Callithrix jacchus: one gene and its partners. The protein of the gene in region 1 interacts with the protein of each later gene in a biochemical or structural test. Links are inferred from orthologs where the notes say so. Each region holds a gene or a part of one and is shown in the gene's direction. Other genes may lie near its edges. The genes, in order: CASP7, PTGES3, BIRC2, PANX1 and PARP1.

The links.
Region 2: of the proteins of CASP7 (region 1) and PTGES3, one has a biochemical effect on the other in vitro, tested with the Homo sapiens proteins (2 studies listed by BioGRID and IntAct). The link is inferred for Callithrix jacchus from reciprocal best matches to the Homo sapiens genes CASP7 and PTGES3.
Region 3: the proteins of CASP7 (region 1) and BIRC2 form a complex in vitro, tested with the Homo sapiens proteins (2 studies listed by BioGRID, with this or other methods). The link is inferred for Callithrix jacchus from reciprocal best matches to the Homo sapiens genes CASP7 and BIRC2.
Region 4: of the proteins of CASP7 (region 1) and PANX1, one has a biochemical effect on the other in vitro, tested with the Homo sapiens proteins (2 studies listed by IntAct). The link is inferred for Callithrix jacchus from reciprocal best matches to the Homo sapiens genes CASP7 and PANX1.
Region 5: of the proteins of CASP7 (region 1) and PARP1, one has a biochemical effect on the other in vitro, tested with the Homo sapiens proteins (3 studies listed by BioGRID). The link is inferred for Callithrix jacchus from reciprocal best matches to the Homo sapiens genes CASP7 and PARP1.

What each region holds. Positions count from the first base shown.
Region 1 is NC_133513.1:106,662,758-106,666,278, forward strand, and holds part of CASP7 (caspase-7), read left to right. Parts: intron 1-460; coding exon 461-636; intron 637-1,293; coding exon 1,294-1,423; intron 1,424-3,521. UniProt on the Homo sapiens protein: Thiol protease involved in different programmed cell death processes, such as apoptosis, pyroptosis or granzyme-mediated programmed cell death, by proteolytically cleaving target proteins.
Region 2 is NC_133510.1:62,989,721-62,992,352, forward strand, and holds the end of PTGES3 (prostaglandin E synthase 3), read left to right. Parts: intron 1-1,209; coding exon 1,210-1,320; 3' UTR 1,321-2,127; downstream 2,128-2,632. UniProt on the Homo sapiens protein: Cytosolic prostaglandin synthase that catalyzes the oxidoreduction of prostaglandin endoperoxide H2 (PGH2) to prostaglandin E2 (PGE2).
Region 3 is NC_133511.1:2,410,883-2,413,385, forward strand, and holds the end of BIRC2 (baculoviral IAP repeat-containing protein 2), read left to right. Parts: intron 1-371; coding exon 372-626; intron 627-896; coding exon 897-938; intron 939-1,040; coding exon 1,041-1,234; 3' UTR 1,235-1,999; downstream 2,000-2,503. UniProt on the Homo sapiens protein: Multi-functional protein which regulates not only caspases and apoptosis, but also modulates inflammatory signaling and immunity, mitogenic kinase signaling, and cell proliferation, as well as cell invasion and metastasis.
Region 4 is NC_133511.1:46,208,671-46,212,855, reverse strand, and holds the start of PANX1 (pannexin-1), read left to right. Parts: upstream 1-1,366; 5' UTR 1,367-1,811; coding exon 1,812-1,992; intron 1,993-4,185. UniProt on the Homo sapiens protein: Ion channel involved in a variety of physiological functions such as blood pressure regulation, apoptotic cell clearance and oogenesis.
Region 5 is NC_133520.1:22,865,370-22,868,890, forward strand, and holds part of PARP1 (poly [ADP-ribose] polymerase 1), read left to right. Parts: intron 1-1,530; coding exon 1,531-1,675; intron 1,676-3,481; coding exon 3,482-3,521. UniProt on the Homo sapiens protein: Poly-ADP-ribosyltransferase that mediates poly-ADP-ribosylation of proteins and plays a key role in DNA repair.

The sequences.
Region 1 (3,521 bases):
TGCCCCTGGCAACCACTGTTCTATATTCTCTCTCTGAACCTGACTATTCAAGGTACCTCCTGAAAGTGGAGTCATGCAGTGCATGCCTTTAGTAACTGGCTTATTTCACTTAGTATAATATTTTATTCTCTTTAACATATACGTGCATGATGTTTGTTATATGGCCTGTTTTACAATTCACGGTTAAGGAAACCAAGGCACAAAATAGTTCAGTAACACTCCTGATATCACGGAACTAGCCAACAGCAGGGCCATGCCCATCAGCCCCCATACGCTATTCCTCCCTCTTAACTTCTTAGATAAGTCTGGTGCTTTGAGAGGAGCCCAGTTCCTGGGACCTCCCCTCCACTCCCCTCTAATAGTCAGGGACAGCTACCAGGCTGCCTCTGGAAATGCTGCTTCTGAAGCCCCCAAGAACTTAAAGCCTTAACTCTTCAATGTTCATACTGTTTGCTTGCAGCTTCTGAAGAGGACCATACAAATGCCGCCTGCTTCGCCTGCATCCTCTTAAGCCATGGAGAAGAAAACTTAATTTATGGGAAAGATGGTGTCACACCAATAAAGGATTTGACAGCCCATTTTAGGGGGGATAGATGCAGAACCCTTTTAGAGAAACCCAAACTCTTCTTCATTCAGGTAATCTCTTTTCAGTGCCAGTACACTTGAAAATGGGGAAAGATTACAGAGTGACGGGATGACATCATTTTTACAAATCTAAGTGTTCTTCCAAATTAAAATTAAGGTTTTATTTTTCTGTCACTGAATGGTTGGCATATGTGTTTGCACTGGATCACAAATTATGAAGGTTTTTTATTTTTTTTTCTTTGAGACAGTCACACTGTCACCTGGGCTGGGATACAGTGGTGCAATCTCGACTCACCGCAACCTCCACCTCCCAGGTTCAAGTGATTCTCCTGCCTCAGCCTCCCAAGTAGCTGGGATTACAGGCACGTACCACCATGCCTGGCTAATTTTTGTATTTTTAGAAGAGATGGGTTTTCACCATGTTGACGAGGCTGGTCTCAAACTCCTGGCTGCCTCCCAAAGTGCTGGGATTACAGGCGTGAGACTTCACGACCCACCATAAATTATGAAGGTTTCTTTAAGACATTGCAGTACTTTTATTTGCTTTGCTTAGTAATTTGACACACATTGATTCATTCATCTGTTCATCAGATTATCACTGAGTTCCTAAGTTTGCCAGGCACAGTTCTAGGTATTGGGACACAGCAGTGAACAGCATGCACGTGTCTGTCCCCAACTGCATGGATTAATGTCTGCTTTGATACTTAGGCTTGCCGAGGGACAGAGCTCGATGATGGCATCCAGGCCGATTCGGGGCCCATCAATGACACAGATGCTAATCCCCGATATAAGATCCCAGTGGAAGCTGACTTTCTCTTTGCCTATTCCACGGTGCCAGGTATCACGTTTATTGTCTACTAAGCATACTTCAGTCCATTCCATCATCAAAACACAGACTTGGGGGCTGTATTAGTTTCCTCTTGCTGCAGTAATACATCGTTACAAACATAGTGGCTGAAAATACACAAAGAACCTCCTGCATTCCTTGGCTGTGGCCCCTTCCTTCATCTTCAAAGCCAGCAACTTTGCATCTCTCTGACCCTTCTGTTGTGACAGTGCTCTCTTTCTGACCACAGCTGAGAAAGGACTCCTGTGATTAGATGGGACCCACCTGGACACTCCAGGATCATCTCCCCATCAGTCCAATAACCTCAACCACATCTGCAAAGTCCTTTTTCCACAGCAGGTTTCATGTTCACAGATTCTGGGGTTAGGGGATGACATCTGTGAGCACCGTTATTCTGCCTACCACAGAAGTGCATTCCCTTTTCTCTCCAGGAAAGCTGACTTGGGACTTGATCTTGGACTTCCCAGCCTTCATAACGTAGAGAAATAGACATCAGTTGTTTAAACCACCTAGTCTAAGGTATTTTGCTATAGCAGCCCAAGAAGACTGACACACCCTGCGATCCAGCCCCGAGTTTTACCAAATGCACTGGGCTATCCGGCCCCTCAGCACTCCATCTGACAAGCGATTTATTATTATTATTTATTATCATTATTCTTATTGGTAATTATAAGGACAAACATTTCTATAGTGCTTTACAATACAGAGTATCTTTCATGTGTCTTTTCTCATATTATCCTTATAATAATAGCATACATATTTAGGAAAGGTATTATTGCTGTCCTGATTTTACAGATAAAAGAATTTTCAGTTTAGATGAGCTTACGTGATTTCGGTATGCAGTGGAGCTGTGGCTCAGACCAAGGTTCCTTTACGCTGCAGCCTGTACACAGGTACCAGAAAATGCCAGTAATGGGCAAGCCTACTCACTTTACCAAGTGCCACATTAGACTGAGTCTGTACAGTGAAAGTCCTTCCTTTGCTTTGGGTACAAACCAGCACTGAGTTAGAATTTTCCCAGCTGTGCTAGTACTTTTGTCAAGTGTTTGGCACAAAGGTACTGGTTACAGTAAGTAGGACGGTGTGTTTGGAAAACCAGCTCTAGCAGCATCTACAGATGGGATTTTGTGAGAGCGATAATTTCACAAGTTTTAAGGATGGTATAAGATAGAAAATAATTTGGTCTTCCTGCTCTTGAGAGGGAGGTGGTGTAATGGAGGCATATGTCTGCATAAACAAACCCAGTGGTAGACTTGTAGGTGCTCTGAGCAAGGAGGCAGATGAGAAAAACCATGTTTTATTTTTTATTTTTAATCATATATATATATATATTTTTTTTTTTTTTTTTTTTTTTTTTTTTGGGAGTCTCACTCTGTCGTCCAGGCTGGAATGCAGTGGCATGATCTCGGCTCACTGCAACCTCCACCTCCCGGTTCCAGCGATTCTCCTGCCTCAGCCTCTTGAATAGCTGGGATTACAGGCACACGCCACCATGCCCAGCTAATTTTTATATTCTTAGTAGAGATGGGGTTTCACTACATTGGTCAGGCTGGTCTCAAACTCCTGACCTTGTGACCTGCCCGCCTTGGCCTCCCAAAGTGTTGGAATTACAGGTGTGAGCCACCCCACCTGGGCAAGAAAAGTGATGTTAAAAAGGAGCTGCTGTAACTGAGCCTAAAATTTCAAACAACATGGGTAAGAGAAAGATGGCTTGTCAGATGGAGTGCTGAGGGGCCAGATACCCCAGTGCATTTGGTAAAACTCAGGGCTGGATCAGAGTATATCAGTTCTTCTTGGGCTGCTATAGCAAAATACCTTAGAGTAAGTGGCTTAAACAACAGACGCTTATTTCTCTAAGTTATGGAGACTGTGAAGTCTAAGATCAAGTTGCTGGCTCAGTCAGTTTCTGGTGAGGGCCCCCTTCCTAGCTCATAAATGTCCCTTCTTGCTATGTTCTCACATGACAGAGATTGACCTAGACAGAGTGAGGCCTCTGGTGTCTCTTCTTATAAGGACACCAGTCCTCTTGGATCAGAGCCCTACCCTAGTGACTTCATTGAATCTTAATTACCTCTATAAAGGCCCTGCC
Region 2 (2,632 bases), on another chromosome or scaffold:
TTGAGGCCAGGAGTTTGAGACCAGCCTGGCCAATATGATGAAACCCTGTCTTTACTGAAGATAGAAAAATTAGCTGGGCATGGTGGCGTGTGCCTATTCTCCCAGCTACCCAGGAAGTTGAGGCAGGAGAATCATTTGAACCCAGGAAATAGAAGTTGCAGTGAGCCGAGATTGTGCCGCTGCACTCCGGCCTGGGCAACAGAGCAGGACTCTGTTTCAAAATAAAAAAGGCTGAGTATGGCGGCTCGTGCCTGTAATCTCATCACTTTGAGAAGCCGAGGCTGGTGGATCGCTATAGCCCAGGAATTCGAGACCAGCCTGGCCAAAATGGTGAAACCCTGTCTCTACTAAATAGAGAAAAATTAGCTCGGTATGGTGGTGCATGCCTGTAATCCCAGCTACCCAGGAGGCTGAGGCATGAGAATTGCTTGAACACAAAGGCAGAGGTTGCAGTGAACCAAGATCACACCACTGCACTCCAACCTGGATGACAGAGCAAGACTGTATCAAAAAAAAAAAAAATACCAGCTGGGCGTGGTGTGTCATTGTTGTAATCCCAGCACTTTGGGAGGCCAAGGTGGGTTGATCACCTGAGGTCAGGAGTTTGAGACCAGCCTGACCAACACGGAGAGACCCTGTCTCTACTAAAAATACAAAATTAGTTAGGCATGGTGGTGCATGCCTGTAATCCCAGCTACTCAGAAGGCTGAGGCAGGAGAATCTCTTGAATCTGGGAGACGGAGGTTGCAGTGAGCTGAGATCGCACGATTGCACTCCAGCCTGGACAACAAGAGCAAAACTTCATCTCAGGGAAACAACAAAAAAAGAATACCATAATACACAATCTACCTAACTTAAGATAGAAAGCTTTGCAACTACAGATGAATCCCATTCTTTTCTTTAACCACCAGAGGTAACCACTACTCAAGTAGAATTTTTAATGTCTGTCATACATTGATACTTGCTGCATGAGTAGCTTGGTTTTTCTTTAGGGAAAATTTAGTTTTAATTTCCGTACAGGTTTTTAGGATTTTGTGTAATTACCTATAATCTACCTTTCACAGAAGGGAAAATGCTTACATTTATTTTGCATTTTTCATTTGTGGATATCTGTGGCAGACTTAAGGTTTATTCTGAAGCATGCAGCCTAATAATTAGGGCCTAACGTAACAACATCATTTTTTAAACTAATTTTTACACTTCAAATAGATGATGAACAACATGGGTGGTGATGAGGATGTAGATTTACCAGAAGTAGATGGAGCAGATGATGTAAGTCTAAAAGTTTTTTTTTCTGTTTACTTTTATACTATTAAATAGTAAGAAACAGCATATTACAGGTGGTTTTATAGAGATTCAGGATTACTTCTTATTTTGTAAAAAAAAAAATAAAAAGGGAAAAGCAGTTTTTAAAATCTGCCCATTTTTGAGGAATGAATATCTACTAGGGAACTGGTTGTTCTGTAGACCATTCCTAAATGGATCAGATTTCAAAAGAATCATTGTATAGTGACATTATATATTAATACTTTACTGAATTATAAGAGTCAATTTAGGCTGGGTACAGTGGCTCATGCTTGTAATTCCAGCACTTTGGGAGGCTGAGGTGGGCAAATCACTTGAGGTCAGGAGTTCAAGACCAGCCTGGCCAACATGGTGAAACCATCTCTACAAAAATTAGCCAGGCAATAATGGCAGATGCCTGTAATCCTAGCTGCTGGAGAGGATACGGTTATGAGAATTCTTTAACCCAGGAGGTGGAGGTTGCAGTGAGCCAAGATCACATTATTGCACTCCAGCCTGGGCAACAGAGCAAGAGTCTGTCTCAGAAAAAGAATCGGTTTATAGGGATTATTTTGACTAAGAAAGCAAGTTAAATAGGTTTAATGTCAGGATTAGTCAGAGACCAGTTAAACAAATGGACGTTGTAAATCTGTAAGAGGATGATATATTAAACTACTTTTCTGAGCATCTTCCCAACACCAGCATTTTAACAGCTCCTGGAAAGTTATTTAATACAGTTTAGAAAAATATGTAATATTCACTCAACAGCTAGGATTAGAGTTCACTGTTTTCTGTCAGTCCATTGTTCTTCATATTGAACCATGTTTTCTCTTTGAATGCCAAGATAGAATTTAGGGAGGGATTCAAAATGTGGGCTGAATGTCTCCAAAAGGCACACACTAGTTTTTAACAGGTAGATAGATCCTCTGCTGTACATCCATTCACCTTAGGTAAACCTAGTCTTAAGTCCAGTGACTAAATTTCTATGCTTGATGTACTTAACTACCTGTGCTACTTTAGATCAAAAATACAGCACTTGAACTTAAGGTAAACTGTTCAGTTAGCAAAGGAATATTTGGTCAGCTCAGTAACTTTTCTAAATTTTGCCTCTTGCAGGATTCACAAGACAGTGATGATGAAAGTAAGTGTATATAAAAAGTATGTTTACACAGTGATATTTTACATCAAAAACCAAACTCAAAAAAGTGATGTTAACTTTGGAAGAAAAGTAATTTTTTCTTTATGACCTCGAATAAATAACCAAAACAGAAATGTGAATTACTTGAGATAGCAAGACCACCTACCTATTCATTGGGAAACGATATATTTTTGATTTTTGGTTGCTTTT
Region 3 (2,503 bases), on another chromosome or scaffold:
CCTTGTTTAATTGACAGGATTGCTGTATCAAATGAGACAAATTACTATGAAAGTACTTACAAAAGTAAAGTAATTCAATGGAAATATAAGTCAGTATTATATAGGGGGGAAATTTTTACTATCTTTGAAAAATGTCTTTCAACAAACAAAAGTAAAAGTGGAATTCTAGGACATGTGACTATATAGACTTAAAAGTTACAGAAACATACTTCTCTGGAAGTTTTCCAAAACAACAAACTTTAAAATGCAAACAAGTTACTTTGTTTTTTGAACTTATTTAGTGCCTAAATTATTTGTAGATTTGGTTATTACTGACTATATAAGTGTAGTTAAAGGAGTTTAATGGATTTCTTTTTCTTTTTTTAATGAAGATGATTTGTCATTAATTCGGAAGAATAGAATGGCTCTCTTTCAACAGTTGACGTGTGTGCTTCCTATCCTGGATAATCTTTTAAAGGCCAATGTAATTAATAAACAGGAACATGATATTATTAAACAAAAAACACAGATTCCTTTACAAGCAAGAGAACTGATTGATACCATTTTGGTTAAAGGAAATGCTGCAGCCAACATCTTCAAACACTGTCTAAAAGAAATTGACTCTACGTTGTATAAGAACTTATTTGGTGAGTTTGTTGGGAGAATTATTTTAGAAATTCTTAGGACTATGTTCATCTCTGTTTGACAAGCAAATAAATCCAATTAGCAACGGTCTGTATTTCACTTGTTCCCAAAAAGCGGCCTTTTCTTTCCCAAGTAGTATGCCTAAATGTAACAGTTCTGATGATACATAGCTACGATCTACATCATTTCATAAATAGGTGAAAAAAAGAGGTAGTAGGTGAAGCAGTTTTGTGTTAGTAGAGTGATGCTTTTTATATGTTTTCTTTCCTCAGTGGATAAGAATATGAAGTATATTCCAACAGAAGATGTTTCAGGTAAAACAAAGATTTAAAACCAACAAAAACTATTACCCTTATTTTTTTTTTAATGGGAAATGAAGTGGAAACAGTTTCACTAATGTTATTTTTTGTTACTAGGTCTGCCACTGGAAGAACAATTGAGGAGGCTGCAAGAAGAAAGAACTTGTAAAGTGTGTATGGACAAAGAAGTTTCTATTGTATTTATTCCTTGTGGTCATCTGGTAGTATGCCAGGAATGTGCCCCTTCTCTAAGAAAATGCCCTATTTGCAGGGGTATAATCAAGGGTACTGTTCGTACTTTTCTCTCTTAGAGAAAAATAGGCTATATTTTAACCTGTATAAAAAAGTCTCTAAAATATTGTTGAACACTTGAAGCCATCTGAAGCAAAAAGGGAATTATTAGTTTTTCAATTAGTAACATTCATGTTTTAGTCTGCTTTGGTACTAATAATCTTGTTTCTAAAAGGTAATATCATATTTAATCTTAATCTGTTTATTTACAAGGGAAGATTTATGTTTGGTGAACTATATTAGTGTGTATGTGTGGACATAAGAGGAGTTAAGGGAGTTAGTGTCACGGCTTGTTATATATCATTTAGGGAATTACTGGATTTGGTATTCTTTCAGAAAGCTCTGAATACTAGATTACAGTGTAGATTAAAATAACTGGAAACCGGGAGCTCTGGAGTTCATCAGAGTTACGGTGCCAAATTGTCTTCGGTGCTTTTCACTTGTGTTTTAAAATAAGGATTTTTCTCTTATTTCTCCCCTTAGTTTGTGAGAAACATCTCAGTAAAGTGCTTTAAAACGATTGTTACCAGAATATTTTTTTGTCCTGATTTAAAAAGTAATTTTCATGTGTCTTCATTGTACTCAAATGCCAACTATTAAGTAAATAATTGCATTCATGAGAAATTATTAACAAGTATTTAAAAATAATGTTATTTGGGAAATTTCTTTAGATGACAGTTTCTTGTTGCTTTGTATGTTACAGATACAATGTTGGATGAAAAACGAATCCAACATTAATTTTGAAAAACTCTTAATAAATTAGATAAATAGTTGTTGTTTTCAGACATTTGTGTAATTGCTTTGTTGCATAAGTGTTGATGGGGCGAGGAGGTGGCATAAAGGCAATGAATGGTAAGTACCTCCTTTCTGGGTCCAGTCATATTTGACCTTTCTTAGATTTGGCTCTGGCAGACTTCTGAAGCCAGGTGGATAAGGAGGTCTAATATTAAAAACTCTCCGTTTTTCTTCTCACATCACAGCTCTTTTAGATTCCTTTAGAGAACACACGGGAAGAGTGAGTGAGAATTTCTGTATCCTCCAGCCTCTTCTCTTGCTTTTGTTTCTATCCTGATGTGCTGATGCATGTATGTAAGTCCAAATGCATATATACCTAGGTTCAAGGCCTCATGAGAGAAATGCTCTCCCAGCCATTAGAGAGGGAATTCTTTTTTCCCCAAATTCAGTTGACTCAGAACAATGTTAAAACATTGTTAACTTTTCTCTGCCTTTCATTCTGGCCTATGATAGCTGACGGGATAATTAGCTCCCTCGAGGAATCAAACTAAAAG
Region 4 (4,185 bases), on another chromosome or scaffold:
TTCTTGTGCACAAAGCATTTTAGCCTGTGTGTTGTCATCTGCAGCCTGTGACTGTAACCTCTGTACTATACCCTCTGAAAACCCAACTGTGATATGAGGGGTCCTCCTCCCTTCTCCTAAACTTTCTTATAAAAGCCTTCCAACGTTTAATAAACTTTGAAACATATCCAACTTTGTTGGTAAGTCTTCTTGGGTGGGTCCTCACATTTACCTTCCAATCAGTCAAATTATTTCCACCTCAATAGCCTTAATTTCCATGGACACTGGTCAGAGCATTTCCTCCTGTCTTTCTTTTTTTTTCCAATTTTTTAAATTGCATTTTAGATTTCGGGGTACATGTGTAGAACATGCAAGATTGTTGCATAGGTACACACATGGCAGTGTGATGTGCTGCCTTCCTCCCCATCACCTATATCTGGCATTTCTCCCCATGCTATCTCTCCCCAACTCCCCACCCCGCACTGTCCCTCCCCTATTTCCCCCCGACAGATGTGTGATGCTCCCCTCCCTGTGTCCATGTGTTCTCATTGTTCAACACCCACCTATGAGTGAGAACATGCGGTGTTTGATTTTCTGTTCTTGTGTCAGTTTGCTGAGAATGATGGTTTCCAGGTTCATCCATGTCCCTACAAAGGAAACGAACTCATCATTTTTGATGGCTGCATAATATTCCACATTTTCTCTGTCCAGTCTATCATTGATGGGCATTTGAGTTGGTTCCAAGTCTTTGTTATTGTAAACAGTGCTATAATGAACTTACTTGTGCATGTGTCTTTATAATACAATGATTTATAATCCTTTGGATATATATCCAATAATGGGATTGCTGGGTCAAATGGAATTTCTATTTCTAGGTCCTTGAGGAATCGCCACACTGTCTTCCACAATGGTTGAACTAGTTTACACTCCCACCAACAGTGTAAAAGCATTCCTATTCCTCCACATCCTCTTCAGTATCTGTTTTGTCCAGATTTTTTGATGATCGCCATTCTAACTGGCTTGAGGTGGTATCTCAATGTGGTTTTGATTTGCATTTCTCTAATAATCCGTTATGATGAGCATTTTTTCAAATGTTTGTTAGCCTCATATATGTCTTCTTTTGAAAAGTGTTCATATCCTTCTCCCACTTTTGGATGGGTTGTTGGTTTTATTATTGCATATATGTTTTAGTTCTTTGTAGATTCTGGATGTTAGCCCTTTGTCAGATAGGTAGATTGCAAAAATGTTTTCCCATTCTCTTGGTTGCCGGTTCATTCTGTTGGAAAATCCCTGCGTCAGAGGGTGGGCCCGAGGGGCGCGGATGCAGCCGCGCCCACCCCGCCTCGCGTCACCGCGTCTTCCGGAAACTCCACGCCTCTGGGTACTCGGTTTCCCCGGATGGTTCCGGAAGAGCCCGCAGCCGCTGGCGGAGAGAGCACGGCTGGCCAGGAGTCCGCTATAGTCTGGGCGGCGCGGAGGGGCCGGGCCGGAGGTTCAAGCGCCTGCGGGCTCGCTGGAGAGCTCGCATCCGAGTGCCGCGCATCCCCGGGGACTTGCACGGGCTGAGCGCGCTTGGTGGGACGGCGGGAATCGCCGCGCCCAGGTCCCCGCCCCGCCGGCCGCGGAGGCAGCAAGCGCGAGAGCCCAGCAGAGTCCCTGCGACCCGGAGGCGCTGAGACACAAAGGCAGGCGGGATTTGGGCGCAGCCGGGGAGTGGGCAAAGGGAAAGCGAAAGCCGCGCCCCAGGCCGGTGACGGGGTGAAGGCGCCGCGGAGCTCGCCAGACGCCAGCGGTATCTGGACCTGCCTGGCTGACCCCGGCGCGCCGCAGCCATGGCCATCGCCCACCTGGCCACGGAGTACGTATTCTCGGATTTCTTGCTGAAGGAGCCCACCGAGCCCAAGTTCAAGGGGCTGCGACTGGAGCTGGCCGTGGACAAGATGGTCACGTGTATCGCCGTGGGGCTGCCCCTGCTGCTCATCTCCCTGGCCTTCGCCCAGGAGATCTCGATTGGTAAGCTTCGCCCAGGTCGGAGGGGAGGGCCGTCTGGGTCTGGCCGAGTGAGCTGTGATCTTACGATTTTACGGCTCATAGGCCCAAGTCTGGGCACGCCCAACTGTGATGGTCGTAAATGTCAGGTAGGATAGTGGCCCCGGTTTTATAGTCCAAAGTGTTCTTTGCTCAGGTGTTTCATTGGTACTCTTGTCTACCCAGCTTTCATCCCTACTCCTCAGTTTTCTTGTTCCCTGAGACCCACTGATGGGACTGTGGCTTACAGTTCATGTCCCACCTTTAAAACTAGCACCTTGCCACCAGATTTGCCAAGAATAGCCGTGTCCCCTCTTTTCTTCCCTGTCTCCTACATACCTGTCCAGCCGCCTAAAATATTGTACCAGAGAAGTTCCTGAGTGGCCACATGGAGAATGTGAAGAACGCTGTTTCATGAGAAGTGTGTTCTTTCACTGTCTTATATTTAATTGGTATTTGCTGAGATAGCTCTGCAGGGCTGTGAATAATAGGAAATATTTGCACTTGGCAGGCATTAGAGGGATCCTTCATTTGGACGGTCTTATGAATGTGAGATGAACAAGTCCCCTTCCTGTAAATTCTCATGTGAGCTTCATAGGTGTTGTTTGAGATTGGAAAGTCTTCGTGGCTGCTCTTCCTCATCAGCTGTTCTAACTTTCACACAGGAGAGAGTTTTAGGAATCAACAGGAAGGTAGTGCAGGAGGGTTAAATACAGTTCTGTGGCGGGGGAACTGCCTAGTGTGGCTGGACTTTGGGGAAACTTTTGTCAGAGGGTGGGTGGGATTTGGCTAAGCAGGAGTAAGACCTTTGTTAAGGTTTTGAGATGGCAGATAATGTTATATGTTCCTGGAAAGAGAGACACAGTGACTGTCCTAGCCGGCAGGAGGATAAGTCAAGAGTTCCTGGGATCTGAGAGTGAATATGGGCCTGGGTCAGCCTGGAATAGAAGAGTATAGATTGATGGTTTCAGAACTGTGAAGTTTATTGTTTGAGCAGAGGACAGAGTGGTTGAAAACAATAGCATTACGTAAATACTAGCCTGTTGGTGGCATATAGGGTTTGGGAAGGAGGAGAGGATGGGACCTGGAGGGCCAGGTGCCTTAAAGCAAGAAGTCTGTTGAAGTCTTGTGCACAGATGGTGTGAATGGAAGAAAATGGATGGGTGATTGCTGTAAGATCAAGGAGTAAATAAGCAGCACGTGAGTACCTAGTTTGTAATAGGCCATGAAGGGCAGTACTGGTCAAACTTGCTGTGAAGGCTGTATATCTGGGTGAGTGGAGTGTGGTGTTGAGGGTGATGGGAATAGTGAAGTTGAGGGAAGAGTTGGTTAGGAAAGAGTGACGACGAGTGTGATTGTGCAATCTGCAGCACTAAGTTGTTCAGTTTGGCAGGAAGCTGCCAAGTTCATCGTGGAAAGTTAGTTTCTAGTTTTCCTGCTCTTTGCATAGGCATAGTCATTGAGATTTTCATTCGCTTCCCATTTGACAGTGAATTGAGGCTTCCAGCTGAAAGGAAAACCACCAAATAGCGTGTGTCCTGGAGATAATCTCTCCCTTCAGTCAACTCCTCATTGAGTTCTGGCTGTGTGCTGAACTAAGTGCTGACCTCCAAGGACCTGGGAGTAAAAGAGGCCTGGACCCTGTCTTGGAGGTGCGAGTCTTGGGTCCCTGGTTGGAACAGAAAGGCAGGAAGGAGGAGTTGATCGCCCTCTGTGACCAGTCTCCACCTCTAGTGCATGTACTAGAGGGATCCCTAAGGAACCTGCACCTGTAATGCCTTAAGATACATCTAAATTGGTGGGCTGCCTGAGAGGTAATTTTGGGTGATTAGGGGTGGTTTTACCTAGCAAGGGTGTGAGCTCATGCTGTGTGCATAGCACTGTTGTGTGCTGAGGAAGACGGGAAAGGGTTTTGAGACCTTGTTCTCGCCCTGCCCTCCCTCTGGCCTGTGGCAGTTTACTATGCAGTTGGGGCACTAGAACATATCTGTTAGCAGGTAACATTGTTCAGCTGTGTGTAATTCAGCACCCAAACAGGTATTGAGCTATGAGCTCCGGCCTGGTGAAGGTTGGCAGGCACTTGGGTGAGGCGCTATCGAGCAGAGTCCCATGTTTTCTGAAGGGTTTTCAGGAGTTCCAAGGGAGGACATGTTGCATTGAACTTAGCACAGAAAATCA
Region 5 (3,521 bases), on another chromosome or scaffold:
ATCATAAGATGGCAGTAAGCAATATGTGATCCCTTGTGTTTTATGTATCAATTACAGAACATCTGTACCTTTTTAAAGGGTATGTACATGCACGAGGCAAGTTTTCAGCGTGGCAGTACTTGCTGCTTATGCATCGAGGCTGTTGCCCCCAGGCACTTGGCCCACAGAATCAAGGCCAGCTCCCTAGCTTATCCTCAGAGCCCTGCAGCCTCTTTCTGCCACCCTCTTCCTCCTCCTCACATACCACTTTCCTCTCCTCACCCACCGCCAGTGTTGCTTATACTTTTTTTTAGTTGAGGCATTAAAGCAGAACTCATTCTTTTTAGGAGTACCTAGCAATAGGGCAGCTAGCCATGGTGCCCCACATCCCACCAGGTGCTACTCGGATGGCTGTGCTTAGGCAGTCTTCTGAGTCTTCAGTTCCCAGCAGGCTTAGCAGGTCACTGCCTCCAAGTATATGCTAGCATTCCCTGTCTTATATCACCTTAGCACGCCTCTGGCATAGCTTAGCTCCTGTGTTAAAGTTCACCTTTATAGACTGGGCACGGTGGCTCACGCCTGTAATCCCAGCACTTTGAGAAGCTGAGGTAGGTGGGTCACCTGAGATCAGGAGTTTGAGACCAGCCACCTGGCCAACTTGGTGAAACCCTATCTCTTAAAAAAAAAAAAAAGTTTACATTCATATAGCTGACTCTCAGTCATGAATGAGATACTTTCTCAAGGGCATAAACTGTCTTTTTAACCAAACTGTAATTAGTAGCACATATTAGGGTGGTCAGTGTGTGCTGGAAAGAATCTGTGACCTCTTATATCCAGCTGGCACCCTGAATGTGGGCACAGCTGGGAAGGGCAGTTTTTTCATTAGATGAAGACCTGGATCTTTCCCTGAGCCTCGTGTATTTGATATTTATTGAGTGATCGTTTAGAGCAAGGCCCCTTGTAAATCACTTGGAGTGAAGATTGAACTGTGCTGATGGAAGAATTTGTTGTGAATACTGTAAGGCTCTCTGCATTCATTTTCCCTTCTTCTAAAAAGGGAAGGGAATACTGTGATTTCCTTTTGGGTAATAATCTCCCAGTGCATATAGTGTTGGGGGTTTTGGAGTTCTGGAGTAGGTGTGTGACCCCACAGAGCCCCATTAACTCTTGAAGGGAACAACTCAACAATGAGGCCAGGTAGGCTGTATTCACACAGCAGTTCCAGGGGTGATTCCCTGGCCTAACTGTCCGCTGATTTGTTTTTAAGGGAAAGATTTTTCTCATAAAGCAGCCACAATACCAGCCCTACTATAAATGTAAAAATATCAGAAATAAATACTATAGCCCCAGTAATAGAATCTTTCATCCTAGAAGCCCCGCATTTTTCTATTGTTTGTTGTAAGAAGAAAAAACTAAAAAGAAAAGAGAAAACTCCATTGTAAGAAGTAAAAAAGAGATTATTTAATTTGGACAAGCCAAATCCTTTTTGGTCTATGGGGTGGTTGCTTCAAGGGAGAGCTGGCTTCTTAACTAAAACTAAATATTTTTTAGGAATTCCGAGAAATCTCTTACCTCAAGAAATTGAAGGTTAAAAAGCAGAACCGTATATTTCCTCCAGAAACCAGCGCCCCAGTGGCTGCCGCACCTCCGCCCTCCACAGCCTCGAAGCCTGCTGCCGTGAACTCTGCTTCAGCAGGTATAGCACGTGGGGCCCCAGTCTTAGAGCTGCTTTGCAGGAATCATTTGTCCACTATTTGATGGTGGTATGGAGCTGGTAAGAAAGTACCCTTCGGGGGTCTCTCTTTGCTGACCCCACCGTGGGGAAGCCTTGCCCTGCAGGGCTTTGACTTGTTACACGCCCAACCACAGCAAGGCAGGAGGATATTAAGACTATAACATCGGCTGGGAGCAGTGACTCACACCTGTAATCTGAGCATTTTGGGAGGCCAAGGCAAAAGAATTGCTTGATGCCGGGAGTTCGAGACCAGCCTGGGCAATATAGCGAGACCCCATCTCTACAAAAAGTCTTAAAATGTTCCAGGTGTAGCAGCTTGTGCTTCTAGCTCTAGATATTCAAGGAGGCTGAGGCAGAGGATTCCTTGAGCCTGGGAGGTAAAGGCTGCAGTGAGCTATGATTGCACCATTGCACTCCAGCCTGGGCACTGGATCTCTGAAAATAAAATAAGCATGGTAAAAAAGCAAACGACTCTTATTCTGGGATGCTAGGAGGGGGCTCCTAAGAAAGGCTGGGTCGACAGCCTTACCTGGAATAGCACGCAGGTCTCCTTCCTGACTACACTGCAGAGCAGCTTGCCAGGCCTCACTCTTTAGGCCATCTGGTGGGCCTGCCAGTCATCCTGGCCCTGGTGTGATGCTCGAGTCTCTGTTGTGTGCAGAGGGAGTTACGCCCCAAGCCAACCAAGACAGTGAGAGCAATGTGTTCTTTTGGCAGAAGTGACCTGCTGCTTATTTTCTCAGCGACATGTGGCATGGTCTAATGGTGAAGGTCACAGTTTGGTGGGTGGAGGATGAGGGTTCCGTCCTTGAACGTAAATCTGTTGTTGACCTCTGTTTCATATTCTGAGAGGGACCAGTGGTCACTGCAGTGTGTGTGTGTGGTCATCCCAAGTCCACTGTGCTGCTGGCAGCCTTGGGTCCAGGTGCCCACCTGAAGAGCTAGGTGGGGGCTGGCATTCTGACCCCTCCTTGGAGGGTTTCCTCCTCTGTTTTCCCCTGACTTGCAGTTCAGCACAAATCAATAATTTTGTTCTCTGGAGACCACACCAGTTTCAACTAAACTGTCAGTGTTAACTAGTTGTCTGCCTTTACAGGGAAGGCAGGAAGGACTTTTCTTTGCAGCATCTCCAGTTCTGGAAATGTGTCACTAGCACTGTTATTTGCTGTGAACAGAAGGCACACCTCTGTCCAGGCCTTTCTGGCCTGGGTCAGTGCATACCTGGCTGCTGCTTTTCGCCTAGAATCAGTTGGCTCACCTCAGTGTGATTGTGCTGGCCACTGTTTGGAGGGGCTATCGTAGACATGTCTTACTTTTAAAACGGGGTTAATTAATAAGAATTGCAATTTGTTTGGGAGGATAACAGAAGGAATTGGGGGGATCATGTGGAAGAACCCCCAATTCCTTCTGTTACCCTCTTCCCATCCCACTCCAGCCTCCTGGTCCCTCATCCACAGATGCAGCCTTCCTAGCCCGCCCATGGAGCTGACCTTGGGTAACCCCCACCTACCTGGTTCATGCCAGCAAGGCTGGCCTGGCCATGGATTGGCATTTTGTGGCTTGCTCCCTGCCCAGTCCTTTCTGTGTCAAGGGACATCTGTAGGTGCTCAGATGGCAGCTTGCTGTCCCATCCTGTTTTCTTCCAAGCATATTTTCATAGGCTTCCTCAGGAGCTCGCTGCTTGGCTCATCGGCTTCTCCACCTCCCCTTCCTGGGGAGCAACATCAGAGTTGGCCTTGCTGAATGATTTTGTCCTTTCATCCCCAGGTAAGCCGTTATCCAACATGAAGATCCTGACCCTCGGGAA